3 linked regions of the Mytilus edulis genome follow. The protein of the gene in region 2 interacts with the protein of the main gene of each other region in a biochemical or structural test. Links are inferred from orthologs where the notes say so. Each region holds a gene or a part of one and is shown on either strand. Other genes may lie near its edges.

Region 1 (10,676 bases), on a different chromosome or scaffold from region 2:
GTGATTAAACAAATGTGATCGGGTAATAAAAACAAATTTGGTGTAGTGCAAAATAACATAGGCGACCATGTGCTTCAACGACACAAGGAAGAATGTGATAAGATACTGAAAGAACTGTGCTTGTGCTTTCATACAAGTGATTAAACAAATGTGATTGCGTGATTAAACAAGTTTGGTCTAGTGCATAATAATAAAGGCGACCATGTGCTTCAACGAAAACAAGGATATATGTGAGTAGAAAAAAAGGAGAAATGTGCTTGTGCTTACATGCAATTGATTAAACAAATGTGATCGGGTAATAAAAATAAATGTGGTCTGGTGCAAAATATCAAAGGCGACCACGTGCTTCACCGAAAACAAGGAAGAATGTAATAAGATATTGAGAGAACTGTGAATGTGTTATCAAACAAGGGATTTAATAAATGTGATTGGGTGATTAAACAAATTTGGTCTAGTGCAAAATAACAAAGGCGACCCTGTGCTTGAACGAAAACAAGGCATTATGTGAGTAGACAAAAGGAGAAATGTGCTTGTGCTTTCATGCAAGTGATTAAACAAATGTCATCGGGTAATAAAAACAAATTTGGTCTGGTGCAAAATAACAAAGGCGACCATGTGCTTCAATGAAAACAAGGAAGTATGTGAGTAGACAAAAGGAGAAATGTGCTTGTGCTTTCATGCAAGTGATTAAACAAATGTGATCGGGTAATAAAAACAAATTTGGTGTAGTGCAAAATAACATAGGCGCCCATGTGATCAGGGTTGGCAAAGTATAACCCGCCTCGGAATTCCCGGATGGGAAAACCCGGGTTTTCCCGGGCTGGGCAATACTCCCAGAAATTGGGAATACTGGGCATTACTGGGCAATATGATTTTGTTAGCTTATTTTAAGACAAAATAGTAAAGTCTTGGTGTAGTTTCATAGCATTACAGCTGAATATATACTTTTATACAGATAATCATTGACATTCATTTCTAACAGAATGAAAAATTCGATTGCGTTCCCTTCTATGTAGACAGAATACAAGATTTGCACATTTAAGGAAACCTTGTTTATTACGAAGCATTGTTTTCAATAATCATCCATACTTTGAAAAAAAAATATTTATTGCAATGTTTAAGTGAATTTTTAATTTCAAATGTACATTCATATTGCTAAATAAACAGCCTAAGGGGTCATGCCATTAACACTTATAAAATTGAAAGGGATGATTATTGTTACATAAACAAATCTGCATTCTAATCTGAATAATTACTAACTAATTAGTGACAGTACATATACATTTTTTAAATGTAATTTTTCTTACATGTAATTGCTAGTTCTTAAATAGGAGTTATATTTATTTTAATTACAGTTTTATCAATCCAGACAAACAAAAAAGGTTATATATATCTTAAATGTATAACATTTGTGTTTAATCACTAAATCCTCTATAAAATTCAGACCAGTATTTTATATTACCCAGTATTGCACAGTATTACCCACTAAAACCCAGTAAAACCCGGGTTTTTCCAGTATTTACCACTGGGCTGGGCAAAACTCATAAAACCCGGGTTTTTGCCAACCCTTCATGTGCTTCAACGAAAACAGTGAAGAATGTGATAAGCTTATAAGAGAACTGTGCTTGAGCTTTTATACAAGTGATTTAACAAATTTTGTCTGAAGCAAAATAACAAAGGCGACCATGTGCTTCAACGAAAACAATGAAGAATGTGATAAGATACTGATAGAACTGTGCTTGCGCTTTTATGCAAGTGATTAAACAAATGTGATTGGGTGATAAATCAAGTTTGGTCTAGTGCAAAATGATAAAGGCGGCTATGTGCTTCACAAAACAAGGAAGTATGTGAGTAGAAAAAGGAGAAAAGTGCTGGTGCTTTCATGCAAGTGATTAAACAAATGTGATCGGGTAATAAAAATAAATTTGGTCTGGTGCAAAATAACAAAGGCGACCATGTGCTTCAACGAAAACAAGGAAGAATGTAATAAGATATTGAGAGAACTGTGAAGGTGCTATCAAACAAGTGATTTTTAACAAATGTGATTGGGTGATTAAACAAGTTTGGTCTAGTGCAAAATAACAAAGGCGACCCCTTGCTTCAACGAAAACAATGAAGAATGAAGCATGTTATAAGAGAACTGTGCTTGAGCTTTTATACACGTGATTTAACAAATTTGGTCTGGTGCAAAATAACAAAGGCGACCATGTGCTTCAACGAAAACAAGGAAGAATTTGATAAGATATTTAGAGAACTGTGCTATCATACAAGTGATTAAACAAATGTGATTGGGTGATTAAACAAATTTGGTCTAGTGCAAAATAACAAAGGCGACCATGTGCTTCAACGAAAATAATGAAGAATGTGATAAGATTATAAGAGACCCGTTCTTGTGCAATCATGCGGGTGACTAAAAAATGAGATCGGGAAATAAAACAAATTTGGTCATGTGCAAAATAACAAAGGTGACCATGTGATTCAAAAAAAACAATGAAGAATGTGATAAGATTATAAGAGAACTGTGCTTGTGCTATCATTTAAGTGATTAATCAAATTTGGTGTAGTGCAAAATAACAAAGGCGACCATGTGTTTCAACGAAAACAATGAAGAATGTGATAAGAAATTGAGAGAACTGTGAATGTGTTATCATACAAGTGATTAAACAAATGTAATGCGGTGATTAAACAAATTTGGTCTAGTGCAAAATAACAAAGGCGACCATGTGATTCAATAAAAACAAGGAGGAACGTGATAAGACAAAAGGGAGAAATGTGCTCATGCCATTTTGCGATTTTTTTTTTAACAAATGTGATTGGGTAATTACCAAATTTGGTCTGGTGCAAAATACCAAAGGAGACCATCGTGATATCGTGCAAGTGATTAAACAAATGTAATTGGGTAATAAAACAAATTTGGTCTGGTGCAAAATAACAAAGGCGACCATCGTGATATCGTGCAAGTGATTTAACAAATGTGATCGGGTAATAAAACAAATTTGGTCTTGTGCAAAATAACAAAGGCGACCATCGTGATATCGTGCAAGTGATTAAACAAATCTGATCGGTAATAAAACAAATTTGGTCATGTGCAAAATAACAAAGGCGACCATCGTGATATCGTGCAAGTGATTTAACAAATGTGATTGGGTGATAAAACAAATTTGGTCTGGTGCAAAATAACAAAGGCGACCATCGTGATATCGTGCAAGTGATTAAACAAATCTGATCGGTAATAAAACAAGTTTGGTCATGTGCAAAATAACAAAGGCGACCATCGTGATATCGTGCAAGTGATTTAACAAATGTGATTGGGTGATAAAACAAATGTGGTCTTGTGCAAAATAACAAAGGCGACCATCGTGATATCGTGCAAGTGATTAAACAAATCTGATTGGTAATAAAACAAATTTGGTCATGTGCAAAATAACAAAGGCGACCATCGTGATATCGTGCAAGTGATTTAACAAATGTGATCGGGTAATAAAACAAATTTGGTCATGTGCAAAATAACAAAGGCGACCATCGTGATATCGTGCAAGTGATTTAACAAATGTGATTGGGTAATAAAACAAATTTGGTCATGTGCAAAATAACAAAGGCGACCATCGTGATATCGTGCAAGTGATTAAACAAATGTGATTGGGTAATAAAATAAATTTGGTCTGGTGCAAAATAACAAAGGCGATCATCGTGATATATCGTGCAAGTGATTAAACAAATGTGTTGGGTAATAAACAAATTTGGTCATGTGCAAAATAACAAAGGCGACCATCGTGATATATCGTGCAAGTGATTAAACAATTGTGATTGGGTAATAAAACAAATTTGGTCATGTGCAAAATAACAAAGGCGACCATCGTGATATCGTGCAAGTGATTAAACAAATGTGATCGGGTAACAAAACAAATTTGGTCATGTGCAAAATAACAAAGGCGACCATCGTGATATCGTGCAAGTGATTAAACAAATCTGATCGGTAATAAAACAAATTTGGTCATGTGCAAAATAACAAAGGCGACCATCGTGATATCGTGCAAGTGATTTAACAAATCTGATCGGTAATAAAACAAATTTGGTAATGTGCAAAATAACAAAGGCGACCATCGTGATATCGTGCAAGTAATTTAACAAATGTGATTGGGTGATAAAACAAATTTGGTCTGGTGCAAAATAACAAAGGCGACCATCGTGATATCGTGCAAGGGATTAAACAAATCTGATCGGTAATAAAGCAAATTGGGTCATGTGCAAAATAACAAAGGCGACCATCGTGATATCGTACAAGTGATTTAACAAATGTGATCGGTAATAAAACAAATTGGGTCATGTGCAAAATAACAAAGGCGACCATCGTGATATCGTACAAGTGATTTAACAAATGTGATCGGGTAACAAAACAAATTTGGTCATGTGCAAAATAACAAAGGCGACCATCGTGATATCGTGCAAGTGATTAAACAAATGTGTCGGGTAATAAAACAAATTTGGTCATGTGCAAAATAACAAAGGCGACCATCGTGATATCGTGCAAGTGATTTAACAAATGTGATCGGGTAACAAAACAAATTTGGTCATGTGCAAAATAACAAAGGCGACCATCGTGATATCGTGCAAGTGATTAAACAAATGTGATTGGTTTGGTGCAAAATAACAAAGGTTTCCATGTACTGCAAAGAAAACAATTAAGAATGTTATAAGACAAAAGGAGAAATGTGTTATCGTGCAAGTAATTAAACAAATGTGATAGGATTACGGCAGCAACAGTTTTAATTTCAGTTGTGAAGGTCAAAGTGAATTTTTGTATGCGCCGACGAACATTTATTTTCAATCAGTTGGAAACTAAAGACAAACGTGTCTTTCTTATTTTACATGTTATGTGTTGTATTATTATATATAAACAATTAAGGGCATAATAAACAATTCTAGAAAGTAACTAATATGCAAAAACATTAGTGGTGTAGAATTTTTTTCATTTGTTTACTGTACGCAGAAAATTAATGGGACTATATTTATTTTATTATCAAGAAAGTATATATAACTGTTTGGGGGGGGGGGAGTGTTGTAGCAACCCCATAGCTGATTTTTTTTCAACAATTCTTGTGACATCATGTCAGTTCTATTAGCTAGGTACCTATACCTACTGTATACCGCCAACTTGAAATGTATAATATTAGCGGTACAAAATCGGGCTAGTGCTTTGCTTAAATCTGCAAATTCAACAGTTTATTTTGTTGTTGTCAAATTTATTTGCCCTGAAAAAAAGAAAAAAGAATATATTAAATATTTTTAAAAGAATAACAATTCACAAATAAAAAAAAGTCATATGAAATGTGAGAAAATTACATGGGTGCTGAGAGATGATGGGAATTTTGAAGAAAGATATATATGAGAAATTTATTGCATTGTTGAAACTGTTTTAGAAAAAAAAATATTGTTTTGTGTTCGAATCAATTTTTCAACATGCTGGCCATTTTTATGTGGAGATAAATCTAACATTTCTACTGAATGGTAAAATAAAGATAAGGAATTTAAAGATTTTTTTTTTACTTTTTCTTTTTCTTTACTAGATAAAGGTTTCGTTAAACTGTCTTTTATTTTTGTTTCCTTAAAGAATGTTATATATAGCCAGAAGTCCATTACTAGACGTCTAGTAGATAAAAATAGCCTATTTTCTCAGATTTTTCTTTTTTTCTTTTTCTTTTACTTAATTCACAAAAGTGGTAGCTTGAAAAATAGCCAATGCAGTAATGTGAAGTTTTTGATATATTATTTTTAAGTTGGTATGCTTAATTCTACAGATCGTCAATTATTTAAAATAATAAGACCAATGTATGTACTGAGATTCCGCCAATTAAGACGCACCCCTTGATTGACTGCAAGGGTACAGCGGATCCATGTACACTCCCTAAGGATTAATGGAGATGTGTCCTTTACAATATTATCCCACCACCAGAACAATCCCCACCCAACACCGCCCAAGGAAGCGTGTAGGACACCGGGAAGTCTGTTATTATGGTGGAGGAAGCCGAAGTACTCGGAGAGAACCACCGGGCCACTCGGTGGAAACAGACAAACCAGAGAGATATCAGAAGATTGATCTCCAGGTCAAAGTAGGGGACAACTTTGACCAACCGAGGCCCCCAAAGTACCCATTCTAGTTTAAACTCCGGTCTGGGTACCAGAGATGTGTGTGAGAGGGTGAAAATTACCCTTCTGATGTACTGATATTTTTAGCACCCCGAGTGAGAATCGAACTCGGGACCTTCAGCACTGTAGCCATCGGTCTTAACCACTAGACCACGAACTCACATGAATTTGTACGGGAAAATTGAATTATCTCCCTTTATAGCAAATCTTCGAATCATTAAGCACGTGACCATAATTTCCTAAAATAGACATTTTCGTCACAACAAAAACATTATTTGTCATTCTAGAAAACACGTATATTGTCTACTTTCGCGACAAAGGTAATTATAACTGATTCTAACAAAACAGAAGAACACAACGTAATGTAAGTCGGGTTTTATAACACGAAAGTAGAATGGTCAGTAAGTTGTTCGTCTTTTTTCTGTCATTTATGTGATGGAAAAAAAATGTGTTGTCTGTTGACACATTGACCTATTTGTTGCCAGCTGTTCAGCCATTTGTAGAAAAAGTAAACATTCCATTTCAATGAAATTTATTTTCATAAGCAAGAGAAAAACAATAAGATCATATGTGTTGCAACAGTAGGCTGTATGACTTTTGCCATCAAAGTCATGCAATTTGGAACAAATTAAGATTGTGGAAATAGTTTACCATAAACTAAATTATAAATATACTGGAAAATAATCATACAAACATTACATAATTATAAAGATAATGGTCCCTTTTAGTTTATCTTTGATTCAAATATAAGATTTTTTGACATTTTTATAGGGTACCAATACACCTTGTTCATCATTATTGCTATTTGAAAAATGTCCGAGTTCTTCTGTAAGTTTTCCAGTCTTCCATCTGAATAACAGATGACTCGAGAATCTGCCCCACTTGAAGTATTGACTTCATACAATAATCACTTCCATATAGTGGCATCAGATATTTTGTATTATGATGTCAAAATTTTACTGGAACCTTTGTGATGTCCAGTAATTAATGGTGGACAAATAGCAATAACTTAAAGGTGTATTATCGAACTGTTTCCTTTGAAGTTTACCTATTTGTATCACAAATTTACCCCTCTTGCTGTCAGTTGCTTTTTAAGGTTGCATTTTGTGTGCCAGAAAATATGACAGCTTAATGTCTTTAAAGTCACATGCCCAACAATGACATCATGCCCTAATAACCGTTACATTTTGGAGCCATTGACGAAAATATTACAGTTAAATCTTTTACATGTATATGAAAAATACACAGCAGTAATGAGAAGCCTGCATAAATTAAATCATTGACACATGTTTTCCTCCAGCACAGCCAGTGTGGACACATGTGTCCTTTCAGCAGCAAGATAGTTAAAAGCAATTGGAATCAGCATGGGTTTATAGACCTTATCCTTATTTGGGAAAACTGCAGTTGAATTTGTCATGTGACTTTTATCACCAAGTGACGAAAATGTAGGCATTGTCACTTCTAACACATTTTGAGCAAACAGATGAAAAGTTTGATTTATACTGTACAAAATATTTAGGAAATTAAAATCTAATAAGATGGTGACCCTCCCTCAGTCGTCTGGGAATCAAGATAACGTACTTACTGAAATTAAATTCTTCTATACAACCCTACAGAATGACGATTCTGAAAGTGCTGGAAACTTTAAATAGAGCAAGCATACAGACGCACCTTCTATCTGATAAATGATGTCATATACATGTAATGACTAATGGTGTGTGAAATTGGCAATCTTTTCTGGTGAAAGACATGATTCTAGTTTTTATTTTGCAAAAACTATCCTTCAAATTTCTTCAAAATAAAAACATTTCAAACATTTCTGATTAATCCTATTTAGTGAATTACACTGAGCTTTTGCATTTTTTGCTTACAGATAAATAATGAGATTTGGTATGGATGATGAGCCCGATGTAGACAAAAGTGATCAAAGTAAGTATAAAAAAGGGGTGAAAGATACCAGAGGGACATTCAAACTCATAGACCGAAAATAAACTGACAATGCCATGGCTGGCTAAAAAAGATAAAAACAAGCAAATAAATAGTACACAATACACAATATAGAAACTAAAGACTATGCAACAAGAACCATGCCAAAAGATATATTTTAAAAGAGGCCAAGAGGCTTGAGAACACTATCTCAATTCATATTGTTTACAAACACTTATAATTTCCTAAATGTACAAACATGTACCGGTACACTATCCACTTGAAATTTAAGTGCATGCATGATATGTGTATGATCTACATCTAAATCATTTGATCATATCAACTTATTATTGATTCTTGTTAATCTTTGGCCAAACAAATGTGCAGGGATGGATCCGGACATTTTCAAAAGGGGGGGAGGGGTCCCAATTTAAATGCATTGATCGTAAAAAAAAAAAGGGGGGGGTCCAACTCCTGGAACCCCTCCCCCTCTGGATCCACCACTGATGTGTATGAATAGTTTAGAGTATATCTATTGTTTGTCTTCATGAACTGATAATTACCAAACTTAAAATAAATAAAAGTGACCTTAATTCTGTTTTTATCTGTGAAAATTTCAAATTAATGTCTTCACAATGAACAGAATTAAAATAATTTAGAGTAATTTAAAAAATAAAAGAAGTTAAACCCCAACATTTAAAAGATGATTGGCAGATTTTTACCTTAAAAAGCAATGCAGTAACGCCACAATAAATATCAGTTTAATGATATGTCATCAGTTCTCAGACTGTTTGCTAATATTTGAATTCTTTACATTGTAAAATTATTAAAACTTTAAATTTACAAATATAAACAAAGGTGATACATTATCATGGTTATTGTGTAACAGTCAAATATATCTTGTCTGATAGCTTATTTTTATTTTGTTTATCAATTGACAAGATAAGTCATGTATGATTAAAATACTTCTTTATGTAATGATGTAAGGCCAAATAAAAATATATGTGTGGTTCCAGTAACCCTACCTTCCCTACTTTTTTGCCTCAAAAATAGCCTACCCTAAAGATTTTATTATCTTTTTTCATTAAGCACTGTTAAAGTCAGAATGTTGCTCCCATAGACTCAATGTAAAAAAAACCAACATAAAATAAAAAAAAATCCTCACCTACCTACCCTAACTTTTTTTCAGATGTAACTGGAACCACACAGACTTTTTTATTTTGCCTAACAAGACTTATTTCAAATTTTAAATCACTCTGGTAACCGAAAATTGTAGTATTGATTTCCTTCATAAAAATAAATACATGTATTTGTGTTTCATTTTCACACAATTTCCTTGAATTTGATAGACAACAATAAGGATCATGAACTCATTTACATAAATAGCCTCTTTATCATCAGTTTATTGTTTTATTGGGGTAAATTAATATTATTAAAATTATTTTTTTGTGTATAAATTTTGATAAGGTAGTATCTGTTTGAATGTTTGATCGAATGTTTTAGTTCAGAAATTATCAATACAGCACTTTTTGGTTACTAAGTTAATTTAATGATAAAATGTATGCAGGATTGTTAATAATTTTTGGTCCATTTGGTTTCATTGGCACTCAGATGGACTTTGGTTCAGTAGATAAGATTATGTAATGTCTGAAATAGTACCCATTTTAAATGTCTGTATACAATTACATGAATAAGATTATAGATATGTACACAATGTATATATGTGTACATCGATTGTTTACTGATTGTTTACTACGTATGTGAGGGTTTAAAATAACTATTATCACTTCCTTGTTTGAAATAATGGACATGAAAAAATATTATTGAAGGACTTTTGAATATTCAAGGAATTACTGGTATATATTTACAGGTACATTTGAATAATATATATATAATTCTCACTTTTGTAAAGGTGTGTTGGTGCCTTTATCATGTTTATTTAAGTTTTCAGCAAAGTCGGTTCAATTTCAAAGTATTATTTTTTGTTGTTAAAAATTACAAGAAAAGAATCTCAGTTCTTAGAATGAAACAGAAAGTGAAAGTCAACTTCAAACATTTACAGTACAAAAATATAAATGATATCATGGATGTAAATTTTTGGCTACAAGATTTTGTATAAAAAATTGAAAGAAATAGAGGGGACTCTATATACATTTATACAGTGCTATATGTGTACATGTATCATAAATTAAGGTTGAAACAATTGTTTCCTTCCAGACAGGTTATAGAGTGTATATTATAGATAGTGATATGTACAATGTACAGTATACTGGGTCATGAATTGCTTTTCAGAACAGAAAGTAAAATTATTACATTGACAAAGTTTAGGATCCTTTAGAATGTTATTGACTCCAGTTTTAACATAAAGCTTGTAGTCTGTTGTCAGGGTAAGGAAGGGTTATATAGCAGCCTAATTTGAAAAGAGAAGTCAGATTGATCTATTTATACACTTAATGTCATGAATGTTTTAAATTTAAAATCATGGTTTTTACCTAAAAATACCATTACCAAAAAACCTACAAAAATTGATGAGTCTTGAGTGAGAGTAACTATGCTATAATGTCTTAGAACAGTAAACTAGTAATGGTATGGAAATCTTGCAT
Region 2 (10,134 bases):
GTTCATACATATAGTAGCAATACGGAAACTCTACCAAAACAATACATAGAAGGCATTAATTTTTGTTTCAGCACTGAGTGTCAGCAGCCCTTTATTTTTCATTACTTTTTTCTATCTTAGCAATAAGAACAATTTTCTTTATAAATAATTGCCTTAAAATCATGACAAAGTGCTTTAGTCAATGTGTATATAATGTGCATTTATGGGGTTGCAGCAAGAATATATTGTCCAAATAAAAAACATAATCACTATACACCATGTCCATTGGAATGTGTCTGTTGGGAAACATGCTGCTCATCTCACATTTCATGTCCAATTTATTTTACATTGAAATCTGGATTAAACCACTAATTTCATGAATTTGGTAAACTAAACATTCTTAAAATTAGCACCATCTCATATGATAACATGTTTCAAATATTAAGATCAGTGCATGATCACAAATTTGAGGTTCATATGACTGCATGAGCACCTTAAACCAAAACTTATAAACCTGAAACAATGTATTCATACTAATTGAAGGGCGAAAGTATAGATTCAAAAACATGATCCCTCAACACTTTTGATGGAATAAAAAGTGTTGTTTTCAATTACCATGATTACAAGTTAAGCAAATCTAGTATTTTGCAGAAAATTTTCATTGCTCGAGACAAATTTTCATTTCAAATTTATGGCAAAAATAATTTATTGATCAGTTTTTTCTGTTATTCATGATTTTATATTCATATTGAGGATTAAAAGACTAAAAGAGTGAAAAATAAGTATACATCTTCAACTATCAATCATGCTGATAATAAATATGACTTACCTCCCTTGAAGTGGCTGAGGTTGCAAATTGAACATAGACAAAACTTTCTATTTCTTTCTAAATATGCTCAAGTAAGACATGAACAGTCCCTTGTATGAACAACTGTAGATCTACATTAGGATGAACAGTGATTAGAGGACCCTTTTTTTATTTTCTGAATGACGAGCTGAAGGATTTTATAAATGAATTAATAAGTCTGCCTCACAAATTTTAGAAGGTCTTCTTGTACATGTATGTGTCTTGAAGAAATCAACATCTGTTGTTATTTAGATACACATGAAATTTTGAAGCATTTTAGAGAAAATACATGTGCATGTCATTGTATGTCACTAATCATTCCGATAAAGCTATTTATCTCCTTATTACTGGGGGGGGGTTTAGAATTTTTTAAATCCACTGACTTAGTGTTTTTTCACATGAAAGCATTGTTTCCATTTTACAGTGATTTAATTAACCCATTGTGTATCTTTTACAGGTATTATAACAAGACTTTGAAGATATAAAAATCAATGATGGATTGTAGATAGACATTTTATAATACTACCATGAAAAATTTAAATGTAGAGAAAAATATCATACACAGCAGCGATTTCTTGTCAATGTCAAACTGGTCAACTCAAATTGGGCTTTTAGGGTATGATAAACATGATGAAATAAATCTGGGAAAAAATATGTATACAAAAAAAAAGAAAAAAAAAGTTCACTTGACATTAAAAAATCACAGTCTGAGAGAGGTTTAAATTAACCAATGCAACTGCATGCACCTTGAGCATTTTGTCAATAAGTAAAATGATGGAATCTTTGGTTATTTGAGCAAATCTTTTCCAAGCAGACACCATAATTACCTTAAAATTAGTAGAAGATATTTCAGAATCTGTCATTGAATTGTGGTAGACAACTAATTACTGCTCTGTGTATTATACATTACAAATGGTATAGACACCATTGACCAATATCAATAAACAAATACATGAAATACTATAACTTTTTCAATTGTGTTATAGTTACATGTACATGTAATTGTTTTATTCCCACCAGGTGAGGACAGGTGTATACCATGTTGTTAATTGACTTGTTATTGACAGGTAAGTGCTAGGTAAGGAAATTACAGTTAATTATGTCATCTTTTGTTATTCGAGATATTTATTTTTTAACCTTTATCTTATATAGTACACAATTTGATTACCTGAGGTTATTTTAGTTGAAAGAAAGGATTAATATTAAATTCTTTGTTCAATTGACACACCATATATATATATATTCTTTATCGTAATATTCTTTATAAAGCACAAAGGTGTCAGTATTCACCTCAGAAACTTACAAAACCTTTGAATAGACTTATTAAGAAGGGATATAATTACGATACTGTTGTCAAGTCATTAAAGATTGCATATTTTGGCGTTAATATTGAGTCACTGATAAGGTCTTTGCATCGGAACTAAACACATTTATTCTAAAAACAGTTGTTGGCATGACACAGGTTATGTTCTTCTCATATATGTTATGATGGTATGATACTAAACCCCTAACGGGAAGGATTGTGCCTGATGTTCATATGATGAAATCATAATCTTTCAGTCAGTTTAGTTGAAGTCTGGAGCTGGCATGTCAGTTAACTGCTAGTAGTCTGTTGTTATTTATGTATTATTGTCATTTTGTTTATTTTCTTTGGTTACATCTTCTGACATCAGACTCGGATTTCTCTTGAACTGAATTTTAATGTGCGTATTGTTATGCGTTTACTTTACTACATTGGTTAGAGGTATAGGGGGAGGGTTGAGATCTCACAAACATGTTTAACCCCGCCGCATTTTTGCGCCTGTCCCAAGTCAGGAGCCTCTGGCCTTTGTTAGTCTTGTATTATTTTAATTTTAGTTTCTTGTGTACAATTTGGAAATTAGTATGGCGTTCATTATCACTGGACTAGTATATATTTGTTTAGGGGCCAGCTGAAGGACGCCTCGGGGTGCGGGAATTTCTCGCTATATTGAAGACCTGTTGGTGACCCTCTGCTGTTGTTTTTTATTTGGGCGGGTTGTTGTCTCTTTGACACATTCCCCATTTCCATTCTCAATTTTATTTAACCTTCAGCAAATTTGCAAATTAAACAGAAGTGATAAAGTTTTGTAAACATTGAAGAAAATTAAGCCCAGCAACAAAACATTTAAATAAAACTGGTTTAGACTTTGCAATTCTAAAATACATACATGTACTGCTGATTGATACTTAGTTTGTGTGCCAATATGAACATGATGAAAATAAGGAGATAGTGTATGTCATTGCCAATGAGACAACAAAAATTTAAAAATAAAGTGGAATTATGGGAAACCATATATATATATAGTCATGATAGTCTTCAACAATGAGAAAAAACATACTGTATAGTTGGCTTTAAAAGATCTTACCTAACTTGAATAATATGAAACCATATTTAATTGAGAAAAATAACCACCTTATTTATCATGTTCTAAATAAACAATTGTTTGTCTACATGGTCTACATGTATTTGAAAAGTGTAGCATTGACCAGTGGTGGATATTGTCATTTATACAACTAAATAAAAACAAAAAACTTAACCTTCATTGCCAAAGGAGGATCCAGGGGTTGATTGAATAGGGAATCACTGAAGCATAAATGGAGAGGGCCCACCGTCAGTCATTGCCCCCACCCCACCGGCACCCCATACAAAAAGTTCTTGATCCGCCACTGAATGCATTGGCTGCTTCTGTCAATGCATTCAATTTGGATTTGAAACTTCAGATCATTATAATGATTATTGGAGTTTTCAATCACTGGCAAAAAGTAAACAAGGAAATTTAATGATAAAATAGACTTGTCATTTGCTTGTGAACTTCCCCCTTCAATATTTGTTTGTCTGTATCACATCCTGTTAAGCAAGCTATAGACATGTGGGTTAAACAGTAACAATGATATTAATTACCAGATAATCTCCTATATGTATTATAATATATGTGATAATCTATATTGAATTGAAAGGGTGTGTCACCTAAATTTGAAAGTTTGCTTTTGTAGCTCTGACATCATTTTAAACGTCAAAAACCCTTGAATTATATCAGATTACAACATACTGCAAACAAGTCATTGATAAAAAATTTAGAAAACCCTTTTTACCTGGAATTATCAAGTATGACTTTTTACATGTTTTACCTGTATATTCAGGTGTGGATATTAGGGTTAATTTCAGAGTTTGTAAAAATGTTGTCACGAATTGACGATTTGTCATCCTTTTGTACTAAATTATTATAAATTCTTACCAAAAATTGTATCCAGTAATTGTGTGTTGAAGGTGTTTCTCTGTTTTATTTCCCAAGTTTATTACCGGTGAGTTGACCTGCTAAAAATAGGAGTAGACGCGCAGTGATATTGAAAACACCTGTTCAAATAGTTCCTTTATTTTCTTTTGTTTTGACCTCTAATAATTACTGGAAGTCCAAGATTTTACCAGCAGAAAGAAAGAGTAAATACATTGGTTTAAGAATCAGTCAACTTACCCAGAGAGTACCAATTTCGTACTTTTTTTGCCAGGTATGCTGAATTGCCGGATGTCAAATAATACACAAAATAAAATGAACCGTTCAAATTCCGGACTAACATTGAAAACTTCAAGAGTTTTAAAATTGTTATTGACAAATTATCAATTTCCATACGATAAATCATCGAAGGACACGCACCTCCATGACCAAAAGAAAAACAAACAAACAAACTAAGGGTCTGGATGGGAGCCTTTAGTTTCCTTAATTGTAATTTTTAAGATTTTTTTTCTTAATCTTTAGAAATAACTCTTATTTTGTTATCTTTTTATGAACATGATTATATTATGTTTTTGTTTCTGCAATTATTCTACTATTTGTTTTTATTCTGTGTGTATGTTCCACTGTGTGCGAAAAATTCTGATCTTCTAACCATTGCAATCGACGAGCAAAAATGTCTGCACCGATATTGTATTTTGAAAGCTTTTCACATTATTTCTAAGCTTTATTAGCTTTGAGAACCTAAAATTGATTAAACTGTAGCTGTTATGATGTCAGCTGCCGTGCCGTGTGTTTTTCTTTTGAGATACGATATTTTCGAACAACAAAATGTCTCACCAATCCGACTACACTTTTTCGTCACATGTCAGAATTCAGGTTAATGATTGGTTAGAAGATCAGATATTTTCGAACATACATATTTAATTCTAAATAATCAATAAAAAGATTTCCACAAAAAATTGAGATACGAGGTTTTTGCATAACAGCGACGATATGTCTTATTTTTGTTTTAATGGATTGCTGTCTCGTCAACGTACACCAACATCTCTCTTTTTTTTTTTATCCATTCATCATTCGAACAAAAAAAAAAAAAAAACCATGATAAAAAATAAAAAAACATGATAAAAATATATATCAGGAGCACATAACTTCAAATTGCGTACCGCGCGGGTCTTCAGGACTGCAAAATTATGGTATACCCACTGTAAAAGTGGACATTATTCTCAGGTAAACAATTTATACATGCTATACTAGTCAAGAAATGACACCACCATATAGCTAAAGATATCAACTAGATCCTATCAATTTCCCTTTGTTTTTTCCTTTGCCGGTGTTCGGACATCCTTTTACTAACCGACTGACCTTTTTTTGAGAAATTTATGTTTTTTTATGACCTGCTGGTTTGTACTAAACATTTGATTTTTATATGTTTAAAATTAAAAAAAAGAGAAAAACAAATATTAATATTCGTACTTCTATAGGCTATAGATATAGTTGACTGAGATAGTTGACATATGTGTTATACTCTGACTGTCGGATTGAATGAGAAAAGTGTCCATAACTCTCCATTTTTCATTAAATGTACTTCGTGGCAAACATTGCAAGAATTTGAAATTCAGTTTTACTAAGGAACCTTTCGTTCATCTTTTCTTGGGGGAGGGAGGGATGTTCAATATGAATAACACACTTTCTATCGTAAATCGTTTACTTAGGAACTGGTCATTTGTAACATTAAGAAAGGGGAAGAAGTTAAGGGGACCTTGATAAGTTTTAAAAATTTAAAGATGTTTAGTCTAATTTTCCAATACTTGAAAATGGGTGTGGGGGGATCAAAATTTGCTCACAGGATTCGAACAATTCTATATAAATATATTTCAAGCCTACAAAAATCATATAGTTAAAATTGACAATAGACACGCGGAATCGTGTCAAAGAGACTACAATACGACCATAGCTAATTTGATGAATACACTAAATCAGTATTTGATTGACTATTTTCAGCAGGAATATCTAATACGCGATTCAGATGTTTTTTCTATATCTCTTGTGTTATCATTTTTTACTTCAAATTTCATTTCAATATTTGTTATATGCAAGTCATGCCATCTTCTGTTTGTTTGTTAGACATGAAGAACGACTATATCAGGGATGGATGGTTTGATGTCTCAGATTTTGCAGATTTTCGAAGCATTGTATGGTTTGTTGTAACGAACACAAGTATTGAGAGATGATGGGATGATTTTTTTTTGTCTTTGGAAAGGATGGGGGGTGTCTTTATTTTATTTTATTATTTCAAGATCAGGACTTGAAAAAAATCAGACTTTCAGTTTAGAATTTCCATTGGAGTTCGGTATTTTTGTTATTTTACTTTTTTCCAAATGTTACGTCCCCCCCCCTCCCCCACCCGAAAGCATAGTCATTTACCCAGTCGACGCACCAAGTCACGCTCCATTTGAATTCGAGCAAGTCCTCAAGTTCAGTTTGTGTGGTTTTTTTTTTTTTTATCTATTTGTCATCCTATTAATCAATTTATGAGAATTTAATGTCGTCAAACCTCTGCTACCTTAATTCATACCTTCAAAATAAATAAGTTTAACATATATTTTTTTTTATGGGATGACAGAAGGGGGATCACAAGTTTTAAAATTTTTGTAACAATTTTAAATTATATATAAATAATATCAGGAGCACACACAACTCAAATTGTGTACCGCGCAGGTCTTCGGGTTTCCAAAATTATTCTATGCTCACTGGTAAAAGTGCTTATTATTCTGAAGTACTAGTAAACAATTTGTAATAGAAAAAAAGATATGGGGCAAAATGATTAGGATAGACTTTGTAAGATGTATCACAGCCAAATCGAGCATTATAAAAAAACATACAGGAAAGTATAACATATTTAAAACAAAATAGTTTCTACGCATAAGGTGTAATATAAAGCTATGTAGAATATATTTTAGTTGTTAAGGTATCAAATGAAAGGTGAATGATTGGTGATCCTTGTACTGACTAATAATTTTGAATAATACAAAACTGTATGAACGAATTCTAAAACTTCGGGCATATATATTGCCTGTTTAATTTCTCGGTACATGTTATACTAGCCAAGAAATAAAACATCACAACACAGATATATATCAACAAATGCTAAACCAATCACAAAAAAGCTTGATCCTATCAATTTTCCTTTGTTTTTTCCTTTGTCTGTATTCGGACATCCTTTTTACTAACAACTGACTTATTTTGAGAAATACATGTTTTTATGACCTGCTGGTTTGTACTAAACATCTGTGTTTTGTTGTTGTATTTTTTAATTAATAATAAAACAGATAAATGTTAACATATATATGTTAATATCCATATGGGCGTTGTTGAATTATATGTTACATTCTGACTGCCTGATTGAAGCAGTGGCGGATCCAGAACTTTGCCTAAGAGGGGGCCCGCTCCAGTCATGCTTCAGTGATTCCCTATATACTCAACCAAATTTTTCCCACGAAAGGGGGGGCCCGGGCCCCCCAGGGCCCCCTTGGATCCGCCTATGTGAAGGCAAAAAGTGTCCATAACTGTCCCTTTTTTTTTAAATTCAAAATGAACATCGTGGCAAACACTCCAAGAATTTGAAATGCAGTTTTACTAAAGCACCGACCGTTCGTATTTTGTCAGGAAGGGAGGGGGGTTCAATCTGATTAAAATAACATATTTATCGTAACTCGTTTACATTTTCAAGGGACTGGTCATTTGTAACCTGAAAGTGGGAAGGATAAATTAAGGGGGCCTGGAAAATTTGGGAATATAAAGTGGGGGTCTAATTTGTTAATAATACTTTAAATGAAAAAAGGAAAAAAGGCAGCGAAATTAATTCACAATATTTGAGCAATAAATTCTGTAATTCACACATGCAAAAATTATAGCTTATTTGATGAATATACTAAATCAGGATATCTAATTTCATTTGATCAATATTTGCTTCATGCAAGTCAAAGCCTTCTTTTATTTGTTTGTTAGATATGAAGAACGCAATATCAGGGATTGATGGTTTAATAATGTCTTAGTTTTTGTAGGTTTTCTGGAAGCTTTTATAGCCCGGCCGATCGGTGAAAAAATTGCTCAAATAATGAGGAAAGCACCAATTTTTGCATGATGGTACATTTTTTTTTGTACTGAGCAATATTAGCTATGGACCCACCCTCAAAATTCAATATGGCGGATTATTTCAAGATGGCTGCCGTACGTTCTAAAATATTTTCCAGTATTGCACAGTGGATTAGATGCTGGAAGCACTAAAATCAACATATTTGAATGACTTGGTGTACTTAGCAAGATTTTGTTTTGATCTATCTTTGAAATACAAAATGGTGGCTATTTTCAAAATGGCCGCCTTGAAAACTAAGCAAATATTCATTATTGAGAATTGACCTGAATATAAGAATTTTATTGATGTACAGTGTCATTTAGTATTTGTCCCAGTTCTGTCCTTTTTAATTTTGCCTTGCTTGTTATTTCATACACAAAGTAGTAGCTTTTATCAAAAGCTGTAGTAGTAGCTTTCATTAAAAGCTGCACTATTTGTTGTCTTGGGTCACACATAAAAGCTGTGATTTGGGATTTATCTGCCTAAAGATATTATTCAGTGCCTATCTTATTTCTTTGGTCGCAATATTTTGAAATTTGAGATATTATACTGTGAATAGAAAATCTTTTAAACACATATCAGTGAAATGGCAGAAATTGAGGACAACAAAGACAAGAACATTGAAATGGCAGAAACTTAATCACTTGGGGATACGGAGAAACCCACAGCTGAAGACGCTTTAACAGAGGACAACTCAGAAATGACTATTAAACAATTGTACCAAGAATTTTTAGCAGATAGAAAATCTAATGCTCAAAGAACAGCTTGGATTTACTGCAATATAAAACAGAGCGAAGAGCGAATTGCTAAAATATGTGTTGGTCTCGATTCAAGCAGAACAGAAAGAGGCAATGCATTTTAATAACGAACAGATGGGAGCAATATCTCAGCAACTTCAACAGTCTGAAGATAGGGTAGACCACACGGATAGTGGAAATTGCTTGGCGAAATGGATGGTCAGACCAATAACATATTCAATGTTGTGGTGAGACGGATGGACAAGCTGAAAACAACTGAGGAAGGAGACACAGTTCAATTTAAAGTTGCATTTGAACAGTAGGATACCTTCCAACAACTGGCATATGTTGTAAATGAATTAGTGGACAATTGAAATAAAGAAGTTAAAATGCCTGCAATGAGCACATCATCTAAGCTAAAATTTTACCTTAGCCAGTACAACGCAAGTTTACCAAAAGTACACAACGAAATCCATGCCTTGGGTCTTTCCCCAATTGTAGCTCGCATGAACCATCAACCGCGCAAACTTTGCTAAAGGTGTCTTCACCTTAAGTCAAAAGTCCTATGTCAGGGCCAATGGCCCTGCACGAAACAGTTCAAACTATTCAACAACAATCTCCATTTAAGAACATACTATAAACCTCTAATCAAGGATACCAGCAAAAGGCTTATGTGTCGTCTTACGCACACATACCATCTACTTTGAGTCAATAATATTTGGTTCAGAGCAGCACATCATTAAAGAAACAATTGGCTGCAAGTGGATCCTATCAAGTTTCTCCAATGCTGAATGCAGTGCCTACTTACGGTATCATCCCCGTCGATTTAATGGCAAATCCCACATTTATCACTCTAATTATGACAACCTCGTCAGCTCCTGGAGCTCTAACAGGCTTCCATTAACAGCAAGCTGACTCCACTGACTGACCAAGGAGAGGGCAGAGGAAACCAAAAGAGTTGTTCTTCTTCAGACTCCTCATTGGAGAGAGAATATACCCGATGGCAAGAAAATATCGGTGCAAGGGACTGGAGCCGAAGCCCACAGCTCCCAAAAATGCAAAAACTCAATTGAAGAGGACCCTTGAATTGGGAGGCGTTCATTTACCAATTTTAACGAACTGCCGATAGATGACAATGGAAAAGCAGGAAAAATGTGTGTAGGCCTCAGATTGCCAGGCCGA
Region 3 (10,577 bases), on a different chromosome or scaffold from region 2:
TCTTCTTCAAATAACAGAACAGTCAATATGACTGATATGTATCTGGTATAGGAAAAGAACAGCAATGAAAAACAATCCCTTTTATAATTTATAGTATAATTGTCTTAAAACACATACATAACCAGCCATTCATAATCTACAGTCCTTATAACCACTTATCTTTATTTGATTAAAATTAAAGTGGAAATTGATTGTTTCCTCATAATTATCATTTATATACCAAAATCTGATAGCAGACAATTCAAATACTCTAGAATGCAATTTCTATTTTAAAACTTTTTAAGAAATAACAAAATTCGGTATTGCCGGAAAGTTTTGTCTGAGTGTTATATCATTCAAGAAATACGTCGAACTGTTAGAACTTACTGAAGACCATAGACGAGGGTATTGATGGGGTCCACAAAATAGAGAAGGAGAATAATGAGCCAATCCTACAAAAAAATAAAGATAAAGTAGAGAATAATTGGGTGCGTAAATATAAAGAATATGGAACAATGGGACGAAAATATAAGAAATAGAGAAAATGACATAAAATATTAAAGAATACAAAAATGGTTGACCCAACCCAAACCTCATTTATGTAATGGTTTAATGAGAAATCTGATAATGGCACATATGATACGTCAAAGGGTGAAGGCATGACAAATATCTTGTACAAAACTGTTATATCAGCTGTAGCAATCGAACACTATCATCTTTATCTAACAAGAGGTTCTTGAGAGCATTTGTCGCTCAGCTAAGTATTCATCAAATGGCCACACTCCAACATTAAACACTAGAATACTCAATATACATTGAAGACCTGTTGGTGACCTTCTGCTGTTGTCTGTTCTATGGTCGGGTTGTTGTCTCTTTGAAACATTCCCCATTTCCATTCTCAATTTTATTCATGACTCAAATTCTCTTTTTTATTGATTAATTTTTTTGTTTATAATTTCTTTCTACTATAGTTTTGCCCAAAGTGCAAAATTGCGTACAAAATCCTCATCCGTACAGGTGAATAACTCCTATGATTAGTGGACTGACAAAGTAGAAATTAATATTTACTCTCAATTCAAAAATCTCATTTAAGGGCAATAACTCCTTTGCTGAGTTTACCGACAGTTTCATGGAGCTATATTTGACTTATTTGCAGACCCTAATTGTCTAACTGTTTATTTTTGATTTGTGAAGTTTCTCTTTTTTACTTTAGTTAGTGGCCCAAAATACATACAAACTAATAAAAAAACTGATTTCGGGACAATAACTCCAATAAGGAGTTGACAGATAATTTGGCCATGTTTAAAAAAATGTAGCTGAACTTTTTTCTTCTTTTATAAATATAGTTTAAAAAAAATTAGACAAAAACGCAACAATTGTCATTTTATGGCAACATTAAAGGGTTGACAATTTCTTTGTTGTCTTATTTGTAAATCTTGTCTTGCTGATCTCTTTTTCCATTTTAGAGTTTCTCTCTATTTATAATAGTTTACAAACAAATAAAAACAGGCAAAACCACAAAAATGGTAAACATCGTGGTTTAAGGGCAATAACTTACTCTTACTATTACAAACAATAAATTAACAAACAACACACTTAAAAGTAATACCGTTTAAATGAATACTTTCACCGAAGTATTTATAATCTGTCTATATGTGACAATCGCCATCCAATAAGCCTAAGTAATATTGACGTATGCACTTCCGAGCAGTTTTCCTGTTCGGCAACGTCATAAAAAACACAGGTACACACGACAAATCTGAATTCCAATAAGGGCTTGGAAGCGACAGTTATAATATAATATAAATGATGCAATGACCGAAGCACAATCACCACTCAGCAATAAGTGCATCAAGCTAAAACACCGATTTAAAAGACAACATCAAACCTTTTTACTAAAAAAAAATCTTGAAACGCAAATTTGTCTGCACCAGTTTCAACCAAATTCCAGTAGACATTACTGCACCTCCTCAATATAAATCTGTTCATTTAAGAAAAAAATCAGCATTAGTTTTTGTTGATTCATGACATCCATCATTTTCAGTGACAAACAAAGGACGATAATTCAAATGTCAAGCTTAAGTTTTATGTCGTTAAATTGATTAGAGTTATCTTTCTTTGTCTGATTAATATAATGTAGCTCTATCATGTCTATATCAAGTCCAAATAATTTTCAAGACGTCATAATTATTTGGACTAGTCTATATCTACATGAACCATGACTATTTCATTTCAATGTGAAAAGAAATGTTTTTCAGTAACAAATCTCAGTGTATTCTTTTGTGTCTATACATGTCGTGCTGACCATCAAGGGCATTGATTGCAATAATAGGTATTCTTATTTTTATTGTAATATAAAACAATAAATTGTCGTCTACTTGCAAACTGTATAAATATCAATAGATACTCCGTCGTCATTAATAATCATTAACCTTTGAGAATCTTGATCAAATGCCAGACCCCAAGGATGATGTATTCCTTCGTCTAAGACCATGGATTTAGTTCCTCTGTTTGACAACCGATGGATATTTCCAGATTCGTACCCAGCAACAAACACGTGACCTAAGCCATCTGTAGCGAGTCCAGATGGACCAACCAACGTTTCAGATCTGCAGATAAATTGTGACCGCTCTCGCGCAATGCATTGGACTTCATCGCCGTTGTTACTTGTCCAGTAAATGGAGCCGTTTATTCCTGCGCTTAAAAGCAACGGGTCATATTTGGTGTTTATTTTGAAAATGGAAATTCCCGCGCGATCGAGAATGCTTATTTTGCAGTGTCCACTCCGGACGATGATTTGATCGTCAATGCAGGAAATCGCAGTGCATTTCCCGCCAGGTCTTATAAATCGATCTGGTCTACATTCACTGTCGGTGATATCAAAAACTTGTATACCCCTCTCGCCTGCTGCGACAACGGCTGTATTCCTGTCAAACAGGGCAACATCATGTGGAAAGTACAGCAATGGAATTTTCTCGGTCATTGACCCGTACAGGTTACATACAAATATAAATCTATTCTGCGCATCGCATAAAAGCATATGCTTCCCTGAGATAAAACAGCCACGTGAAACTGTGATATTTTCTCCTAAAGATGAAGACGTCGGGAATTTTTTGTATAGTACTAGCTGTATAATCGAGGGAGTTTGAGGTACAAGTTTTATTAACGACAGTTCACTTTCTTTGAAATTACTAACGGATCGAGTTGATACAGGTCTAGGTACAATCTTGCTCTCTGTTGGACTTTCCCATTGTTTGCTGGTCGGCCTAGGTGAAGTTGTTTTTTCAGTGAAAGCAGATTTGACTCGATTGATAACTTTAATATCGACCCAACCCATTGCATTGTAAAGCGATGCCAATTGTTCTTCGTTTTGGGTGAAATCGATTTCCAATGGTTTATATCTATCTCTGAAGTTACTTATGATATCTTCAGTTCTTGGTTTAGTCTGTTCAAACTTCTTTACAATTGTGAACTTATAAGGTTCAGAACCATTCTTTCTCATTAATTCAATATCACTATCGTGAATAGACATCAGGTCTTTATTATGTTGAAGCTGGGAAATTTCATCATCTATTTGTTCAACACAGGAGTCGTATTTCACACTGAGACTGTTTAGTAGTTCTTCTTCTAGTTTTGTTAGATGATCTATGATTTCAGACTTTGTTTTCTTAATTGTTTCTTGAATTGTCTTGTTTTGTTGATCAAGGTTTGCTAGATTTTCTTTCCTGGTATTTATCAGTTGGTTTAAAGAGTCGGCAAGTTTTAATGCTTGCTTTTGTAGAACATCAAAATAGTCGTTACTACTACTGCGCGGTCTCTCTGGCATTAGCTGCTCAATTGCAGTAATATATTTACAGTCCTTGTGTGTTTGTAACAAACAGGTTTGGCAAATCAGCTGGTCATGTCTATTGCAGTAGAAGGTCACTCTTAAATCGGAATGAAGATCACATAAGAAAGACGTAGCCATTAGAAATGATTTAGTATTCTTAACATCCCGGAGACGGATAAGTTTATGCGAGGTTGTGAATCTAGACTTTTTATGGACCTTCCCACAATCCTCACATAATGCTTCGGCACAGTCACAACACCAGTGTTTGGCTTCAACATTATCATTGTCCCTTAGACAAGCAGCGCATATTTCGATATTGACTTTCTTTTCCTTTTCCATCTGAAAGTGTAAAAAGTCATGTTTTCTATTGCTATTATAAACAACGGTACGCCTAGTAAATAACAATGGGGCACCTGTGTTATCAAAGGATTGAACCCTTTCCTTATTCCCTCGAGATGACATTTAAAAATTATCATGCATGAAAGTATATCAGAAATATGCTGGACAGTTCCACTACCAACACCAAATATATATGTAAGATAAGTTTCGCAGAATCAAATAATATGCCTGTACGAAGTAAGGCTATCTGAGCTTTGTATTATTCGTTGTTATTTGTAAGTATGTTTTCTGCGAGGGGTTTATTGCTGTTTGTACTAGTAAGTCATAGTGTGGTGGAAGGTTGAATATCAATGTTAATACCTTCTGTCATATGTATAAAATGGTTAGTAGCAATTGTTATTAAACTGCCACCAAATGTATAGCAGATTGGACAAGAAAAATTCTATCATAAGTGTATAAGTTCAGATTTATTATTTCTTCCATAGATCAACACACAAACGGATTGCTGAGCAAAAAAAAAAAAAAAAAGAAATGAACTCATAACCTTAGAAAATGCTAGATTAGAATGAGTTGAAAGTATGAGCTGACGAAAATGAAAGATAAAGAGGTCCGAATGGATTTACGGATTAGATAATAATTGGCAAAACATTAATGACAGTGAGAAATAGAACAACAAAAAAAAGGAATAAAGAATGGAATTTTCAAATATTAAGAAAATTATAGCTACGGTAAAAAAATACAAAAATTACAAATAAAGAAAACAGGATAACTGCTATAAAATGTATGCATACAGAAATGACAGACTCCCTCTAAAAATATAAATAAAATCCAGACACTCTTACTAGGCATTATCGTTTGAATTGATTTATATGTGGCATTTTGTGGCCATTTCTAGCTGACTATGAGATATGGGCATTGTTCAATGTTGATCGTTACTGTGACCTATAGTTGTAAATTTCTGTGTCATCTGGTCTCTTGTGAAGAGTTGTCTCACTTGGGCGTACATATCACATCTTCTTTAAATATACACCAAGTATACGCATGCAGCACTCATAACCACCCGTCTATATTTGCCTACGAAAGGAAAGCACCTCAGTTCATGTAAATAAAAAAGATTTAAGCTTGAAATATGTTTGTATAACGCTGATATCTTACCTTTCCCTTTTATTTTCTTTGAACTGTTTTAAGCTTCTTTAGATAAATTGTCGATATATTCCTATTATAATATGGTAAAACTTATATATGCGACAAAAGCACTGATGCGGATCAGTAATTGTTTTGAAGAAGTAATAATTGAAATTAAAACTTGAAATATAATCATTTATCAAATTGACAATAGTATATATAAACTAAAATAGTAATAGTCTGATATGTTTTGATCAAAAGTTATGAGATCTAATATAGTTGCCCTTTACCAGATTTTTTCAATTTCACACACGAAAAGATTACAAAAATATCACATTAGAGATAAAAGACTTATTCATGTTTCAAATTTTATTGTTTTAGGGGCCTTTGACAGACAAGGGAGGGAAAGGGGGAAGGTTCCTTTTGTCCCATCTTACGGTATGTATATATATAGTTTACCAACTCGCTCTCTATGACCGTGAAGGTTGTAGTTCCTGACGTTTTAAATTAATGAAGGTAAATTATATCCGAAACTGATTTATAATTTATAAAGTCAGGCATTTCGTTACCGTTTTTTGTTTTTGGATCATATATAGAAATCTGATCAAAATGAAATGTAATATTTATGACGACACGAGGACGGAGGTTCAACAAGAAAGTACACAGGTGAATTAATGAAAAACTTGATAGAAATCGTGTTTCCATGATCCTAGTCAAAAAATGTAATTATATTAAAGTAAATATGCTTCTTTTAGTAATTTTATAGGGTTTTAAAAGCATTAACCATGCGCATATTTTTTAAATTTCGGTCAACGTTTTTACTTAAAAAAAATTACAAAAAGAAACATGAAATTCTCAATTGAAAATTTTGTTCAGTCAAAACGCATGAAATATTTGTCACTGGACGAAAAGAAAACTTGAGAATCATCAATCAATCCGGCAATCCGTAATTTCATTTCAGTCAGGTTATGTCCATCGTTTCAGTTTATGGCTTTAAGTGTTGCTGGCATGTAAAACATAAATACTCAATGACTTCTGTTCTTTCTTTAATATAGAATAAAATACCATGTTGATTTTAATACTCATTTTCGAATATTCAAGTCCTTACCGTGGTTGGTTTCTTTTTAGTTTGATTTTGGTTTGTTTTGATGCATGATCGCCCACGAGAAAATGGGTACATGAATAACAAAGGGTAAGTGAACATTTCTATAAACTGTCAGACAAAAGTTAATAGATTTTTGAATTTCTTAAAAATTATGTGTTCCTTCATCCTAATTTATTCACAGTTTTGTTCACAGAAATTCGCTTTATTTTTGGATCACCTGATCTCAACTTCAGAAACGGGGTCAAAGTTGTTGAACCATTTCATTTCACTTTGGAATCCTTAAAATTGGTAAAATACAAACCAGGAAATGTTCTACTAGTTTAGAAAAATATTCACATGTTTTCAACTTGTAATTTCCTAATAAGGAACGGTTAATTGCCGAGATAATAGTGTGTATCTGAAATGTACATGCTACACGCCCCCTTTTACGATATAATATTGATAAAGTGTACCACTTTGGAATATCACAAAGTAATTATTATGTTATGAAGAAGAAAAAGATAATATTCACATAGATTAAGATTTTATACACTGCTAAAGGAATCAGAATTGAATACTTTAATTTCTTGTGTATCAATCATGTAAATGTAAGTTTCTTGTACTGTACACATGTACAATGATGTAGATGCAGGTAATATTAATTATTACATTTGTCAAATCTCCTTGTATAAGAATAATTTTTCAATGTTGACACTTGACAATTGTAATCTTTTGTACTTATTGTTGATGGTTACACTACATTTACAACTTGTTTTTACTATACCATGTCATTTACATACAGTTGTACCACATCTTCAATTCCTATATCTACATATAAACAAAAATTCTCCAAACCTCTTCAGAAGAGCATCATTGAAAATGGGTTAACCACAATTTTTCAAAGTTAAAAAAAAATGAGATTTTTTTTTAAAAAGACTGACATGTAACATAAATATCGGTACATATGAATTACTGCAAAATTGATGAATTATTTTATTATTGTTTCAGCTATTGTAGAATCATCTTATTTTTATGCCCCATTTACGATAGTAGAGGGCATTATATTTTCTGGTCAGTGCATCTGTTCAGCTGTCCATTCGTCCATCTGTCCGTTCGTCCGTCTGTCTTTAGGTTAAAGTTTTTGGTCAAGGTAGTTTTTGATGAAGTTGAAGTTCAATCAATTTAAAACTCAATACACATGTTACCTATGAAATGATCTTTTTAATTTAAATGCCAAATTTGATTTTTTACCCCAATTTCACGGTCCACTGAAGATAGAAAATAATAATGAGAGTGGGGCATCAGTGTACTTTTGACACATACAATGTACTTGGTTTTTGTATACATGTATACAAATGTACCTCATATATCTCTCATTTAATTTATTTTGGATTCAGATGTACATGTACATAACATCTTTGTTGTGATGTTATGCTATTGTTTCAGAAAAAGGGAGAAGGTTTGGATCCATTAAAACGTTTAATCCCGCTGCAAATGTTTGCACCTGTCCTAAGTCAGGAATCTGATGTACAGTAGTTGTCGTTTGTTTATGTAATATATACGTGTTTCTCGTTTCTCGTTTTGTTTATATAGATTAGACCGTTGGTTTTCCCGTTTGAATGGTTTTACACTAGTAATTTTGGGGCCCTTTATAGCTTGTTGTTCGGTGTGAGCCAAGGCTCCGTGTTGAAGGCCGTACTTTAACCTATAATGGTTTACTTTTTAAATTGTTATTTGTATGGAGAGTTATCTCATTGGCACTCACACCACATCTTCCTATATCTATGTATTGTTAATGAGCATTCACTTTAATGAGGGTCACTCCAACCTACATATGTATATGCATTTACATTAGCTTATTGCCCTAAAAAATAATATTAACAACCCAACTCTAGTTTTAAGTGTCTCCCCTTAATGATTTTAAAAATTTTTGAACAAGCACAACATTTGCACAAGGCACATACTATTTTTTCTGCTGTTAAAACCAATTTAAAAGTAATATTACCTACATTTGTTACTTCCAAACTCAATGATATAAGTTTTAAACCAAGTTGGGTCAAACCAAAGAATTGGTATTTTCTGCTTCTCTGCAAAACACCCAGAGAAGATATACTTGTAATTCAATGGTCCAGATAGCTTCCCAAGTTTGATGGCGGTGTCATATGGTATTTTGAACCCCCTAAAAAGTGAACCCGGGGTCAAAATACCATGCGGTAAAATGACCCCGGGGTCATTATACCGCATGGTATTTTGACCCCGGGGTCATTTTTCACATATGGTATTTTGAACCCCCCTGCGGTATATTGAACCCCCCTGTTTTTGATAAATAGTATTGCAGATAATCTAATTTACAATTTATTGGCTATCATTTTTTTTAATTTGTGCTTTTAAGTAGGGGGTTCAATATACCGCAGGGGGGTCAAAATACCATGGCTAAGTAAAATTTTCAAAATATCTTTTCCAGTATATTAAATACATACAAACTACTCATTGGAGTATTATAACTATGTTGAGGAGTAAGAATAGCTTGAATTTTTGAAATTCAAGGTCTATAGTAGGGGGTTCAATATACCGCAGGGGGGTCAAAATACCATGGCTAAGTAAAATTTTCAAAATATCTTTTCCAGTATATTAAATACATACAAACTACTCATTGGAGTATTATAACTATGTTAAGGAGTTAGAATAGCTTGAACTTTTGAAATTTAAGGTCTATAGTAGGGGGTTCAATATACCGCAGGGGGGTCAAAATACCATGGCTAAGTAAAATTTTCAAAATATCTTTTCTAGTATATTAAATACATACAAACTTCTTATTGGAGTATTATAACTATGTTAAGGAGTTGAAATAGCTTGAACTTTTGAAATTCAAGGTCTATAGTAGGGGGTTCAATATACCGCAGGGGGGTCAAAATACCATGGCTAAGTAAAATTTTCAAAATATCTTTTCCAGTATATTAAATACATACAAACTACTTATTTGAGTATTATAACTATGTTGAGGAGTAAGAATAGCTTAAATTTTTGAAATGCAAGGTCTATAGTAGGGGGTTCAATATACCCCAGGGGGGTCAAAATACCATGGCTAAGTAAAATTTTCACAATATCTTTTCCAGCATATTAAATACATACAAACTACTTATTGGAGTCTTATAACTATGTTGAGGAGTTAAAATAGCTTGAATTTTTGAAATTCAAGGTCTATAGTATGGGGTTCAATATACCGCAGGGGGGTTAAAATACCATGGCTAAGTAAAATTTTCAAAATATCTTTTCTAGTATATTAAATACATACAAACTACTTATTGGAGTATTATAACTATGTTAAGGAGTTAGAATAGCTTGAACTTTTGAAATTTAAGGTCTATAGTAGGGGGTTCAATATACCGCAGGGGGGTCAAAATACCATGGCTAAGTAAAATTTTCAAAATATCTTTTCCAGTATATTAAATACATACAAACTACTTATTGGAGTCTTATTACTATGTTGAGGAGTTAGAATAGCTTGAATTTTTGAAATTCAAGGTCTATAGTAGGGGGTTCATTATACCGCAGGGGGGTCAAAATACCATGGCTAAATAAAATTTTCAAAATTTCTTTTCCAGTATATTAAATACATACAAACTACTTATTGGAGTATTATAACTATGTTAAGGAGTTAGAATAGCTTCAATTTTTGAAATTCAAGGTCTATAGTAGGGGGTTCAATATACCGCAGGGGGGTCAAAATACCATGGCTAAGTAAAATTTTCAAAATATCTTTTCCAGTATATTAAATACATACAAACTACTCATTGGAGTATTATAACTATGTTAAGGAGTTAGAATAGCTTGAACTTTTGAAATTTAAGGTCTATAGTAGGGGGTTCAATATACCGCAGGGGGGTCAAAATACCATGGCTAAGTAAAATTTTCAAAATATCTTTTCCAGTATATTAAACTATACTTATTGGAGTATTATAACTATGTTGAGGAGTTAGAATAGCTTGAATTTTTGGAAATTCAAGGTCTATAGTAGGGGGTTCATTATACCGCAGGGGGGTCAAAATACCATGGCTAAGTAAAATTTTCAAAATTTCTTTTCCAGTATATTAAATACATACAAACTACTTATTGGAGTATTATAACTATGTTAAGGAGTTAAAATAGCTTCAATTTTTGGAATTCAAGGTCTATAGTAGGGGGTTCAATATACCGCAGGGGGGTCAAAATACCATGGCT

Evidence for each region.
Region 1: the proteins of unconventional myosin-VI-like (region 2) and tax1-binding protein 1 homolog B-like form a complex in vitro, tested with the Homo sapiens proteins (5 studies listed by BioGRID, with this or other methods). The link is inferred for Mytilus edulis from reciprocal best matches to the Homo sapiens genes MYO6 and TAX1BP1.
Region 3: the proteins of unconventional myosin-VI-like (region 2) and disabled homolog 1-like form a complex in vitro, tested with the Homo sapiens proteins (7 studies listed by BioGRID). The link is inferred for Mytilus edulis from reciprocal best matches to the Homo sapiens genes MYO6 and DAB2.

Annotation. Positions count from the first base shown.
Region 1 is NC_092345.1:32,306,260-32,316,935, reverse strand, and holds the start of tax1-binding protein 1 homolog B-like, read left to right. Parts: upstream 1-6,359; 5' UTR 6,360-6,467; exon of another isoform or gene 6,468-6,511; intron 6,512-8,020; 5' UTR 8,021-8,027; coding exon 8,028-8,076; intron 8,077-9,689; exon of another isoform or gene 9,690-9,943; intron 9,944-10,676.
Region 2 is NC_092353.1:45,602,838-45,612,971, forward strand, and holds the start of unconventional myosin-VI-like, read right to left. Parts: upstream 4,450-10,134; 5' UTR 4,321-4,449; exon of another isoform or gene 4,084-4,320; intron 975-4,083; exon of another isoform or gene 809-974; intron 1-808. UniProt on the Homo sapiens protein: Myosins are actin-based motor molecules with ATPase activity. Unconventional myosins serve in intracellular movements. Myosin 6 is a reverse-direction motor protein that moves towards the minus-end of actin filaments.
Region 3 is NC_092344.1:59,956,395-59,966,971, forward strand, and holds the start of disabled homolog 1-like, read left to right. Parts: upstream 1-6,381; 5' UTR 6,382-6,464; intron 6,465-6,631; exon of another isoform or gene 6,632-6,848; intron 6,849-10,577. Other genes in the region: uncharacterized protein, read right to left, coding at 2,354-4,147. UniProt on the Homo sapiens protein: Adapter protein that functions as a clathrin-associated sorting protein (CLASP) required for clathrin-mediated endocytosis of selected cargo proteins.